Linked DNA regions of Saccharomyces cerevisiae S288C. The main gene of each other region encodes a partner of the protein of the gene in region 2 in a complex. Each region holds a gene or a part of one and is shown on either strand. Other genes may lie near its edges. The genes, in order: MRPL33, MRPL32, MRPL20 and MRPL23.

The links.
Region 1: MRPL32 (region 2) and MRPL33 share a complex: the UniProt entries of both Saccharomyces cerevisiae proteins name them as parts of the mitochondrial large ribosomal subunit.
Region 3: MRPL32 (region 2) and MRPL20 share a complex: the UniProt entries of both Saccharomyces cerevisiae proteins name them as parts of the mitochondrial large ribosomal subunit.
Region 4: MRPL32 (region 2) and MRPL23 share a complex: the UniProt entries of both Saccharomyces cerevisiae proteins name them as parts of the mitochondrial large ribosomal subunit.

Annotation. Positions count from the first base shown.
Region 1 is NC_001145.3:840,028-842,733, forward strand, and holds MRPL33 (mitochondrial 54S ribosomal protein uL30m MRPL33), read left to right. Parts: upstream 1-1,914; coding exon 1,915-2,175; downstream 2,176-2,706. Other genes in the region: NGL2 (RNA exonuclease), read right to left, coding at 117-1,664; DSS1 (exoribonuclease II), read right to left, coding at 2,409-2,706. UniProt on the Saccharomyces cerevisiae protein: Component of the mitochondrial ribosome (mitoribosome), a dedicated translation machinery responsible for the synthesis of mitochondrial genome-encoded proteins, including at least some of the essential transmembrane subunits of the mitochondrial respiratory chain.
Region 2 is NC_001135.5:116,922-119,708, reverse strand, and holds MRPL32 (mitochondrial 54S ribosomal protein bL32m MRPL32), read right to left. Parts: upstream 1,090-2,787; coding exon 538-1,089; downstream 1-537. Other genes in the region: YCP4 (flavodoxin-like fold family protein), read left to right, coding at 1-134; septin CDC10, read left to right, coding at 1,361-2,329. UniProt on the Saccharomyces cerevisiae protein: Component of the mitochondrial ribosome (mitoribosome), a dedicated translation machinery responsible for the synthesis of mitochondrial genome-encoded proteins, including at least some of the essential transmembrane subunits of the mitochondrial respiratory chain.
Region 3 is NC_001143.9:598,514-601,573, forward strand, and holds MRPL20 (mitochondrial 54S ribosomal protein mL58 MRPL20), read right to left. Parts: upstream 1,169-3,060; coding exon 581-1,168; downstream 1-580. Other genes in the region: ribosome dissociation factor GTPase HBS1, read right to left, coding at 1-377; DEAH-box RNA helicase PRP16, read left to right, coding at 1,344-3,060. UniProt on the Saccharomyces cerevisiae protein: Component of the mitochondrial ribosome (mitoribosome), a dedicated translation machinery responsible for the synthesis of mitochondrial genome-encoded proteins, including at least some of the essential transmembrane subunits of the mitochondrial respiratory chain.
Region 4 is NC_001147.6:610,222-613,069, reverse strand, and holds MRPL23 (mitochondrial 54S ribosomal protein uL13m MRPL23), read right to left. Parts: upstream 1,072-2,848; coding exon 580-1,071; downstream 1-579. Other genes in the region: DNA-directed RNA polymerase II core subunit RPB2, read left to right, coding at 1-73; SMP3 (glycosylphosphatidylinositol-alpha 1,2 mannosyltransferase), read left to right, coding at 1,682-2,848. UniProt on the Saccharomyces cerevisiae protein: Component of the mitochondrial ribosome (mitoribosome), a dedicated translation machinery responsible for the synthesis of mitochondrial genome-encoded proteins, including at least some of the essential transmembrane subunits of the mitochondrial respiratory chain.

The DNA.
Region 1 (2,706 bases), on a different chromosome or scaffold from region 2:
ACATACAATATTTGGTAGGGTAGGGTATTTGATGTAATATTTATTATTAAGAACTTTTGTCGTGCTAAACGTTGTACTGTACAACTATTAGCAAGATATTTATGCACGACAGTAATCTATAGTTGTAACTCTAAATCACACACCATAGACAAATGATCACTTGCATATTCTCCAACATGTGGTTGTCCATGCTTTGTCATTTCATTACCGGGCGGCATTCTCAAAAAACCTCTGCATTTAACTTTATTTTCTTTTTCAAAATCGCCAAGGGTTTCCACTTCCTGACAATTACTTTGTGGGTCCCATTTCTTTACATAAAATAGATAGTCTAATAAACCACGCCAAGTGTTTGCCCAATTTGAAATTTCAGGCTCACCTCTATCATTATCAAGACCTGCATTTTCTGGATGAACATTCTTATACCCAACAGAGTATAGTGAAATAGCCCTCATATCCAATGAGTTATGGAGTTGTGCCATTTTATCTACGAGTTCAGACTGTTCTTCATTAGCATGAAATTTTTCAGGAACGGGGCTCTCAGGTTGATCTTTACCATATTTTTCAATATTCCCGCCTTCTTCGTCATCTGCACCTTCTTCGCCATCACGGACCTTGGAAAACTTATATGAAGTGCTGCACCCAATGACGGTCTTTGCCCTGTTTCTATAGTGCACTGGTTTGGATGTCATAGATAAATATGGTGTGTCGAACGGCTGGGAATTAAAATCACCACAGAAAAAAGGAAACCAATGAGATAAATCCCCATCATTTTCGTTCTGTAAAACATTCACACGATGCATGAATTCCTTCATCTTTTTTAAAACAATATAGCATTGTCTTGTTCGTTCATAAGTACCAAATGGATGCCAAAATAGATGCGTAGTGCCGATCAAGATACCGCATTTTTTAGACGATTTTTTACCCAAATTCGACAGTACTTTCTCAGAAAACTTCAAGGCTAAGACTAATCCCACGTTGTTTGTCGTTGTTCTAGTGGAAATGCTTTCTGAACTTTCTTTATCATAGTCGATTAGCATTTTGTCAACCTGGTGAAATAATTCTCTCCTCCACATTATCGCGACACCATGGTTTTTTGTAGCATTTCTATAATATTGTCCATCGTATCCCAATTTACTGAATTCATCTTTCCAAAAGCTTTGAAACTGAATATGATCAATCTCTTGCAAACAAATGACATCGGAATTATAATATTTAAACTCGTTTAAGAGAACTTTAGAACGCCTGTACCATTTTAAAGCGTCACCACTATCCGGGAACAGCTTTCTGCGGATTAGAGCTTGCGCCAAGCAATTATAAGTCATTAGCTTGAATCTAAATCCAGTTACTGGCTCTGCCTCATGTAGAGATAGGAAAGGTCTTCTGATAAAATGCAGCTCTGGCGGGCAGTCCGGATCAACACCTTGAGCCAACATTGCATCTCTTTTAGCCTTTCTCATAACTTCCCTTTCGGCACGAACCTTAGCGATATGTTCTGGGGTCACTATGGGCTTCGATTTTTTACCTTTCTTGCCCTTCTTTTTATGTTGAAGTAACGAATCATCATTGGTTTGATGTTTTGCATCTTTTACAGATTTATTAATTTCTACTTCTTGGTCGGGCGCAACATCTGGGGCAACCACTTTGACTTCTTTGTCTTGTGTCATATTTACTTAATACTCTTAACTACAATTAAGAAGCTATAAGGAGACTACAATCTCATCTTCTTGCAACACTACTTTTCCTTTCCTCTTGCTTTAGTGCAACCATTTTTTGAAAAATGAATGGTCTTTCTGCACGAAATATCTCTCGAAGAGCTTTTCTAGATATTAAGGATAAAGTATATCATCCCAAAAGTTAGGTGATGGAATCAATATTGATGGACCAGCTAAAACACGTTGAAAGCAGATATCAGGAATGGTGTTTTACAAAGTCACGTTGAGTAGGTCGCTTATCGGTGTGCCACACACAACGAAGAGCATTGTCAAAAGTTTGGGTTTAGGTAAAAGAGGGTCCATAGTCTACAAAAAAGTAAACCCGGCCATAGCTGGCTCCCTAGCTAAAGTAAAAGAGTTAGTCAAAGTAGAAGTAACAGAACATGAATTAACACCATCGCAGCAACGAGAGTTGAGAAAGTCAAACCCTGGGTTTATAGTGGAGAAGAGAACCATCGACTGAAACAGCGAAAATAAGGCAACTGGATTTCCTTTCTTCTTGATATTCCTGACTTATATATGTATATAGTATTATTTTTTCCTGCATAGGCACATATGTTAATAGTAATTTATGCAATTTTTGATACAAAGAAATCAATACACTATCTCGATTTCATATTTTATGTATGTATATATTTACAAGAAGAAAATTATGCATGGTCTATTGAATTTTATATTTGGAAAAAGAGTCCCTTTTTATAGCTTTTCCAACTCTAACATTCCTTCTAAACAGTCAATTTTTGAAATTTTACAATTCTTCACGATATCTCCAATCATCGGATAATGCATAGAACTTGGATGCAATTTTAATGTTCCTCTAGCGAACGATAAGTCTGGAAAAACACATCCAGTAAATCCGTTCTGCGGTACTGATGTTACCATTACATCGAAAGTCCTTTCTGGCTCTAGTTTGGTTAGCTTTTTTAAATAATTCAGTGTCCAGTACGTCGACGAATTACGGCTAGCCCTTTTTAAAATATCCGCTCGAGATTGA
Region 2 (2,787 bases):
AAGAAGCCAAGCCCTCCACTGAAAAGAAGACCACTACTTCTGATGCGGCTAAGAGACAAACTAAACCTGCAGCAGCTACAACTGCAGAAAAGAAGGAGGACAAAGGATTATTATCCTGCTGTACTGTCATGTAAGAAACAACAGTTCGCGTCTAATATTTAGTTCTTACTAACATTAATTCTATCTCAGCAGATATATCAATGTAGGACGTTGGAAAATTAATAAAGAATTAACTCTTTTTATTTTATTTTTTCCTTTTTATATTAAAAGTATATTTCTGTAAGTCCTTGTACTAATAATATCATTTCCTAATATTTTGAAATATAGTTGTTTTTTGTCAAGCAAAACTCTTGATTTCAAAGACCTCATTTTGTTAAGCCAAAAGCGAAAAATTCTATTTCGACTTTTCTTTCTGTTTCCGCTCCTTGTATTCTACCATTGATGCTGTCTTAAACAATAAATATACAGTTTGAAATTAAGTTTCTATATACAGGCTTAAGTTTATTTAAAAAGGAAACCACTAGATGAAAGATGAGCCTAGTCCTTTTTTAAAGTCCGAACGCGACGTTCCAAATAGTTATCTTTATCTTTCAAATCCTTGGTATATTTGGTATCTCTTCTACCAGGATATAGGACTCTTTGGTCTAGTTCGGAAAGTTCCTCCTCTTGTCTCGGCTTAATTTCTTCTTTAGCGGTATGCGTTTTCCATATATGACTTATTTGTCCAACACAATACATACACAGTGTATTGGCTCTCTTATAATGGCCGCATGATGGGCACTTATTCAAATGGTGAATCATCTTCAATTGCTTCTTACCTGGACCGTAAAGTTTTTGCCTTTTTTTTTGGTGTGATACTTTTTTTTTAGGAACTGCTAGTAGAATACCATTATTAGAGAAAAAATCTTTATCTTCAGTGTCCTTATGATCTTGTTGTAGCTTTTCTCTCAACCAACGGTGGATAGATCCCAGTTGTTTTTGGCCTGGAATCTGCAGTGAAGGATTTCCTAGCGGTACCAACCACCCAATTGCAGTGGTAGGCACAATTTTGTGAAATGCTAATTGTTTACCAAAAATCAAAGAATTCATAGTTTGTTTGCTGATATTCCCTGGTGTTTTTGTCTCCAAGTTAAGGTATTATTTGGGAACATTGTGCCTTATATTAAGATTTGCTTTCTGAATGCTTGCGGAAATAATCGTATGATACGATGAGATTTCCTCGAGAGACCACAAATAGATCAGAATCGCTGAATAGAATATATGTAAACATGTATCAGTAATACTTAACTTTTTTCAGGCAAAGACAAGAAAATACAAGGCCAAGCCCCACGGTTACTACAAGCACTCTATAAATATATTAATGGATCCTCTCAGCTCAGTACAGCCTGCTTCTTATGTTGGTTTTGATACCATCACGAATCAGATCGAACATCGTCTGTTGAAGAAAGGTTTTCAATTTAATATAATGGTTGTTGGCCAATCCGGATTGGGTAAAAGTACTCTAATAAATACGTTATTTGCCTCACATTTGATTGATTCTGCTACTGGTGATGATATTTCTGCCCTGCCTGTTACAAAAACAACTGAAATGAAAATTTCTACTCATACTCTTGTGGAGGACCGCGTTCGCTTGAATATTAATGTTATAGATACACCTGGATTTGGTGACTTTATTGACAATTCTAAAGCTTGGGAGCCTATTGTGAAGTACATTAAGGAACAACATTCTCAATACTTACGTAAAGAATTGACAGCCCAACGTGAAAGGTTTATTACTGATACAAGAGTTCATGCAATTCTTTATTTCCTGCAACCAAATGGAAAGGAGTTGAGCCGCCTTGACGTTGAAGCCTTGAAAAGATTGACAGAAATAGCAAATGTTATACCAGTTATTGGCAAGTCGGATACATTGACTTTAGATGAAAGAACGGAGTTTAGGGAGCTTATTCAAAATGAATTCGAAAAATACAATTTCAAGATTTATCCTTATGATTCGGAAGAACTAACTGACGAGGAATTAGAACTAAACAGAAGTGTTAGATCTATCATTCCGTTTGCAGTGGTTGGTTCTGAGAATGAGATTGAAATAAACGGTGAAACCTTCAGGGGAAGAAAAACTCGTTGGAGCGCTATTAATGTTGAGGATATCAACCAGTGTGATTTTGTATATTTAAGGGAATTTTTGATTCGAACTCATCTCCAAGACTTAATCGAAACAACTTCCTACATTCATTATGAAGGGTTCAGAGCAAGACAATTAATTGCCTTGAAAGAAAATGCGAATAGTCGTTCCTCAGCTCATATGTCTAGCAACGCCATTCAACGTTGAATCTCATAAGAATGGTGGTGATTATATATCTTATGTTATTAAGAATTCTCAAATTATTCTATATGAAAACACCGTAACTTGCTTCTCTCCTTGGTTTTACATAATGACATAATGCGATCGAAAACTAGAGGTACAGGTATTGCTGGATTGGCGAGAGTTTTTACCTTCTTTTCTGGCGTACAGCTATCACCTTCTCGTTTGGTAAAATGAAAGAACATTTTGTTGTCTTAGCCAAATATTTAATCTATGAAGAAAACGGAGTTTACCGGTAATTCTAAATAAAAGTTTGGTTAGGGATTGTGCCTCATAGAGAAGCAATTGGTACTCATCTTATTAAAGTATTACTATAAACATTAGAAAGAGTCCCTGAGCGTTGCTAATGGGAAGCTATTCGCGCTTTTAGTAAATTATTAAAATACGCCAAAAATAAATGTAATCCGGATATACCTCTTCTTTTA
Region 3 (3,060 bases), on a different chromosome or scaffold from region 2:
CCCTCACTTTCTTCCTCGTCAAGCCAGTCTGGAAGCCGATCATTTGGCCTTTGTTGCGAAATTGAGATGTTTGCCAGTTTTTGAGTAACATTCGCACTCCCATTAGCAGCAGCAATTGGCTTCTTTGGTGTCTTCTTCTTCTTCAAAGTTTTCTTCAATTCCGCCAGCGTGCTTTCCAAATCGAAATTGTTGTCAAACAAAGCTAGCTTAAGTGAAAGATTATCCCAGCCTTGGTAATCCTGTAACTGCGCCTTTAGAGTAGGAAATACCTCGTTCATTAGATCATATTCATCGTCATTCAAATAATCATCAAATTCACCTTCGTCGTGAAAGTCCGGCATGTCGTCTGCTCCATCGCTGTAGTCACTGTAAGCCATCTCGATAGTCAATAGTTGTCGAAGCAGAAGCCTTTGGGTGTCTCCAAGCTGTACTTAACTCTTTTTAAATTGCTTATTGGTTAGCTTTCATGTGGTATATTCAAGTCACATTAATGGGCGTCTCCGTGCATTGTGATCAATATATGAATACGAAGTACTTATAGAGTAGTATTTACACGATTGTTATTATATTTATATAGCATTCACGCCTGGTACCACAGGAGTTTTCTACGCTTACGGTCCTCTCTGGCTATACGCCTCTTCTCCTTCCAGCGTGATTGGATTTCTTGCAATCTACTTTCCATAATTTGTACATGTTGTTCACTAGGTTTCGAGACCATGGATACAAATAATGGCGAAATGCCATATTTTGCAGCCAAAAATTTGCGTGTATACTTTTGAGGATTGTCAAGACGTAACTTCCGGATCTCATCAATTTCTTGAGGTCCCAGATGATAGGTTTTGCCGTTCACTGTGCTCTTACCTACGAGAACATTTGGACACTGCTTCGCTTTAGTGCTTTGAACAGGCATGTCAAGCCCTCTACGAGGGTCACTGGCTGCCATAAAGCTACGTGGAATGGTCTCACTGTTAACAGATCCGGTTGCGATGGATTCTGATGGTTGATAGTACATTCCTGGAGCATCTCTGTGCTTTAAATACCCTTTATAGTTAGATGCGCTCTTAGTCTTGTTGTAAATCGTTGTCACTTGTGTTTTGGGAAATCCAAATTGCTTCCAGGCAGATCCAGCAGTGTGGAACGATCTGCAGCACACACCTCTGCCAATCATTCTTGTGCTATTTTACTTTGTCTTTAATTTTCCATTTTAACTTGTTGAAAGTATCTCTTTTTGCCCTCTTTTCTATTTTCTCAAATAATAAAAGCGGTGAAAGCTGAAAAATTCATGAGATGACTGCAGATGATAAAACACAAGAAGGCCCAAAGACAATACAAATACCTCTGGTATGGGTCATTCGGGGCGTGAGGAAAGGATAAAAGACATATTTAAGGAACTTACGTCAAAAGAACTAACGCCTGGGTTGCTTTTGACACTGCAGAAACTAGCGCAAAAGCCGAATACTAATCTAGAACAGTTTATTGCCAGCTGTAAAGCTTTGACGAAACTCAGCAGTAACAATCCAATCATTTTTAATGAACTTCTGGAGCTCCTCAAGAATAAATCTGAAGAGGACTCGACAGGCCCAAAGAAAATCGCCCCTTCTATAAATAAGAGAAAGAAATTTAAGATCCAGTTAGACCTTGACGATAATGAAGATGAGCTAGATTCTCCAGTTCAAAAAAAACCAGCACCTACACGGACGTTGTTCAAGAGAATAGATAAACTAAAGGCCAAACAGTTGAGGCAGTATTCGCCCACCGTGAAGGATCCTTCTCCAAATAGTGAACAGCAAACACAGAATGGTCATGCTGAAACGAAGGACTATGAACCGACTCGAAGCGAAGTAGTTGAGGAGGACAGAGAATGGTATGATAATGATGATGATTATGGAAATTTGGTGCCTGAACCTCTGTCTGAATTGCCTGAGGAAGCGAAACTACTACCTGTCATTAGGAATATCGACAACGATGATGCCTTACGAAATACCGTTCAATTATACCCCATACCACTCAAGCAAAGAATGGAATGGATCCCTCCTTTTTTATCAAAGTTTGCTCTTGAAAACAAAGTGCCCACTTCCATAATTATCGGGTCCATCTCTGAGACGTCCAGCCAAGTATCCGCTTTATCAATGGTGAATCCATTTAGGAATCCTGACAGTGAATTTTCTGCGAACGCCAAACGAGGTAGTAAGCTGGTTGCCTTGAGAAGGATAAACATGGAACATATTCAACAATCTCGAGACAACACCACTGTTTTGAACACTGCCATGGGGGAAGTACTAGGCTTGGAGAATAACAATAAAGCAAAAGATAAGAGCAACCAAAAGATTTGCGACGATACAGCTCTTTTCACGCCATCAAAAGATGACATTAAACATACTAAAGAGCAACTGCCTGTTTTCCGCTGCAGATCTCAATTGTTATCATTGATAAGAGAAAATCAAGTAGTGGTGATAATTGGTGAAACGGGCTCAGGTAAAACCACGCAACTTGCACAGTATTTATATGAAGAAGGATATGCCAACGATAGGGGGAAATCTATTGTTGTCACACAGCCGAGAAGAGTAGCAGCCATATCCGTTGCAAAAAGGGTTGCAATGGAAATGCAAGTTCCATTGGGTAAGGAAGTAGGCTATTCTATAAGGTTTGAAGATGTGACGGATTCTGAGTGTACAAAACTTAAGTTTGTAACGGATGGTATTCTACTCAGAGAGACCTTATTGGATGATACACTCGATAAATATTCGTGTGTTATTATTGATGAAGCTCATGAAAGGTCATTAAATACAGACATTTTACTAGGTTTTTTCAAGATTTTATTAGCACGTAGAAGAGATCTAAAACTCATAATCACTTCAGCAACAATGAATGCGAAGAAGTTCTCCGCATTTTTTGGTAATGCTCCTCAGTTCACAATTCCTGGAAGAACTTTCCCCGTACAGACCATATATACTTCCAACCCTGTTCAAGACTACGTAGAAGCTGCAGTTTCTCAGGCTGTGAAAATTCATTTAGCAAACGATTGTTCAAGCGGTGATATTCTCATTTTCATGACAGGTC
Region 4 (2,848 bases), on a different chromosome or scaffold from region 2:
GTTATTATTCCAAGAACTTATGGCTATGAACATTACACCACGTTTATATACCGATCGTTCGAGAGATTTTTAAGAAATAATGTTGTAACTCTAAGAAAGTAAAATAATAAAAAACATTTCATTTGTGCTGATCTTGCCAAAAAAAGGGTAAACAAGTAGGCAATAGTAATAAAATAAGAATGAAGCATTTCTTTTAATAAGCAGAGAGAACTTTCAAGCATTCAAAAAACACAAAAATAATGATGAATAAAATGGGACTCACAGTGTTTATTTATAGTCCTTGTTTCGCATTTTACCAAATTAAAATTTAATTTTATCAAGACATATTAATGAACTTTAGCGGAAAACCTTAAATATCCAAGTCATAAATAATGACTTATGTAAAAAGTTATAAGAAAAATATACGGTGTTCATTTTGGAACAATGTTGCTGTTACACACTGTTAAATATATTTAGTATTCATAAAAGAAAGAAGATTTTAATACGCGTTTTGATTAAAACTACATAACAGATAAATATATACATGGATTGAAGACTGCAAAAAGGATATATAAAAAAATGACAAATAATTTCAATAAGCTATTTCAATTGGTTAAAAATTGATTCTTTAAGAGGCTCTGGTATTGATGATTGCTCATGGGCAAAGGCAGTAATATTTTGTTTATAAGGGTTTTCACTTCCATCGAAAACTTTTAAGCGGTCTAACCGTTGCTTTCTCAATTTATTTTTAGGCAACATACCGCTAACTGCTTTTTTCAAAATTTCTCCAAATCCTTTATCGGCAACAACCTTGTTCATTGTCTGTAACTTTAGCTGACCAGGTCTACCTGAATGAGACCAGTAAGTCTTCTGCTCAAATTTCTTACCTGTTACACGGATTTTTTGGCAATTAGTCACTACTACGTAGTCTCCACAGTCTTGTGACGGATGATAGACCGGCTTATGTCTACCAATTAAGGTAATTGCAATTGCTGAAGCCAATCTACCCAATGTCCTCTTATCACGGGCAACGTCGACATGGTGCCAAAGGCGCGCAAAAGCCAAGCCACTGTGTCCAATCTTCTGCGACATGAATAGGCTATTGTTGATGCTGGTATTGCTTTCTTTTTCTATATGATATCAGTGTATTCATAAGGTCTTTCTCTTTTACTTATTTAGAACGTTTTAAAGATCTCTAAACTACAAGGAAGGCTCCATGCGGGTAACAATCAACATTATAACGATAATTAACTAAACCATAACCGTCTAAGTAACCATAGCGTGCGGTGATTCTTCGCTAGATGGAACTCATGTCTTACTAGTAGCGTGTTTGGTACGTGCAATATAGAGCAAAACATTATATAGACATCGTAATAGCTTTTTATGTGCGGACTGTAATGTTTGTAAGAAGTAAAACCAGTCACTAATATAGTGAAAAAAAGTCAACTTATCGATCTATGTATCTCATAGAAGATGTATTGATTTAATATAACTTATAAAGGTGCTTCTACAGTAAGGTGCTGAGAGGACTTACTATGTCGGCAACAAGTTCAAATCTGAAGCTCTGAGGATTTCGCGAGATGCGCACAATCTGAAGTAATATAAAGATGAAAACACAATACAAAAGGCCTGAAAATCTATATGTCCGATAAGATATCATAGTATTCTTACTCGCAAGCACACATCAGGTACTTGGAAGTGTATGATGAGGTATCAATGGTGGCTTTATTTAGTATATGCCATCGGCCTAATGCTATGCCTAGGCCCGTCGTATATTCATCCAGATGAACATTTCCAATGCATCGAGATTTTGGCTATGCAGTTCATGAAGGTCAAAGGTACCATCCCATGGGAATTTAAATCAAAATTTGCTGCTAGGAGTTACGGCCCCCTATTATTGGTTTACGGGCCTTTGTTCACTATTTTAGAATCTTTTCCCGAAATTCAGGACAACCCAGCGTTAATTCTGTATTCGATGAGACTACAAAACTATGTGATGTACCTATTGTGCTATCATTTTTTAATACCTAAATTAATAAGGGATGAGAGAAAGGCCGTACAATTCATCAAAAAAAGTCTACTTTTAACTTCTTACGTAACCTGGACGTACCAAACACACACGTTTTCCAATTCCATAGAAACGCTGGCTTTAATCTCAACTTTAACTGTAATGGAAGATATGGTAAACGAAAAAAATATTCAAAGAAGTAATTTCAAAAATTCGGTTATATTGGGACTTATATTTAGTTTTGGTGTTTTTAATAGAGTTACTTTTCCTGCATTTATTTTCTTACCATGTTTGATATTATTCTGGAAGTTTTACCGGGTCCATTGGAAATCCTTTTCTTTACTTTTACTTTCATTTTCATTTTCCTCGTGTCTATTTGTTCTTATTGATACAAATATTTATAACAACGGAAAGGGATTTGTCATTACGCCCTTGAATAACCTGAAATACAACCTCAATGTCCAAAATTTGCAAGTACATGGATTACATCCAAGATACACCCATCTGCTGGTCAATTTACCTCAAATAGTTGGCCCAGTATTGCTGCTAGCGATTTTTTCCGGTTACAAACTCGATAAATTATCTACTTACGCAATCATATCTGGCCTGCTTTTTCTTTCATTCTTTCAACATCAAGAATTAAGATTCCTTGTACCGCTAGTGCCACTACTCGTGACAAACTTAAACTGGACACCTCTGAGTTCCACGTTAGTAAACAAGAAAATTTTCAAGGGAACTTGGCTTCTTTTTAACATAATCATGGCGTTCATCATGGGAATTTCACATCAAGCAGGAATTATCCAATTTTTGGGAGATTACTTCCACTTTCGTACCGAACAAATGGGCGTTCACATATGGTGG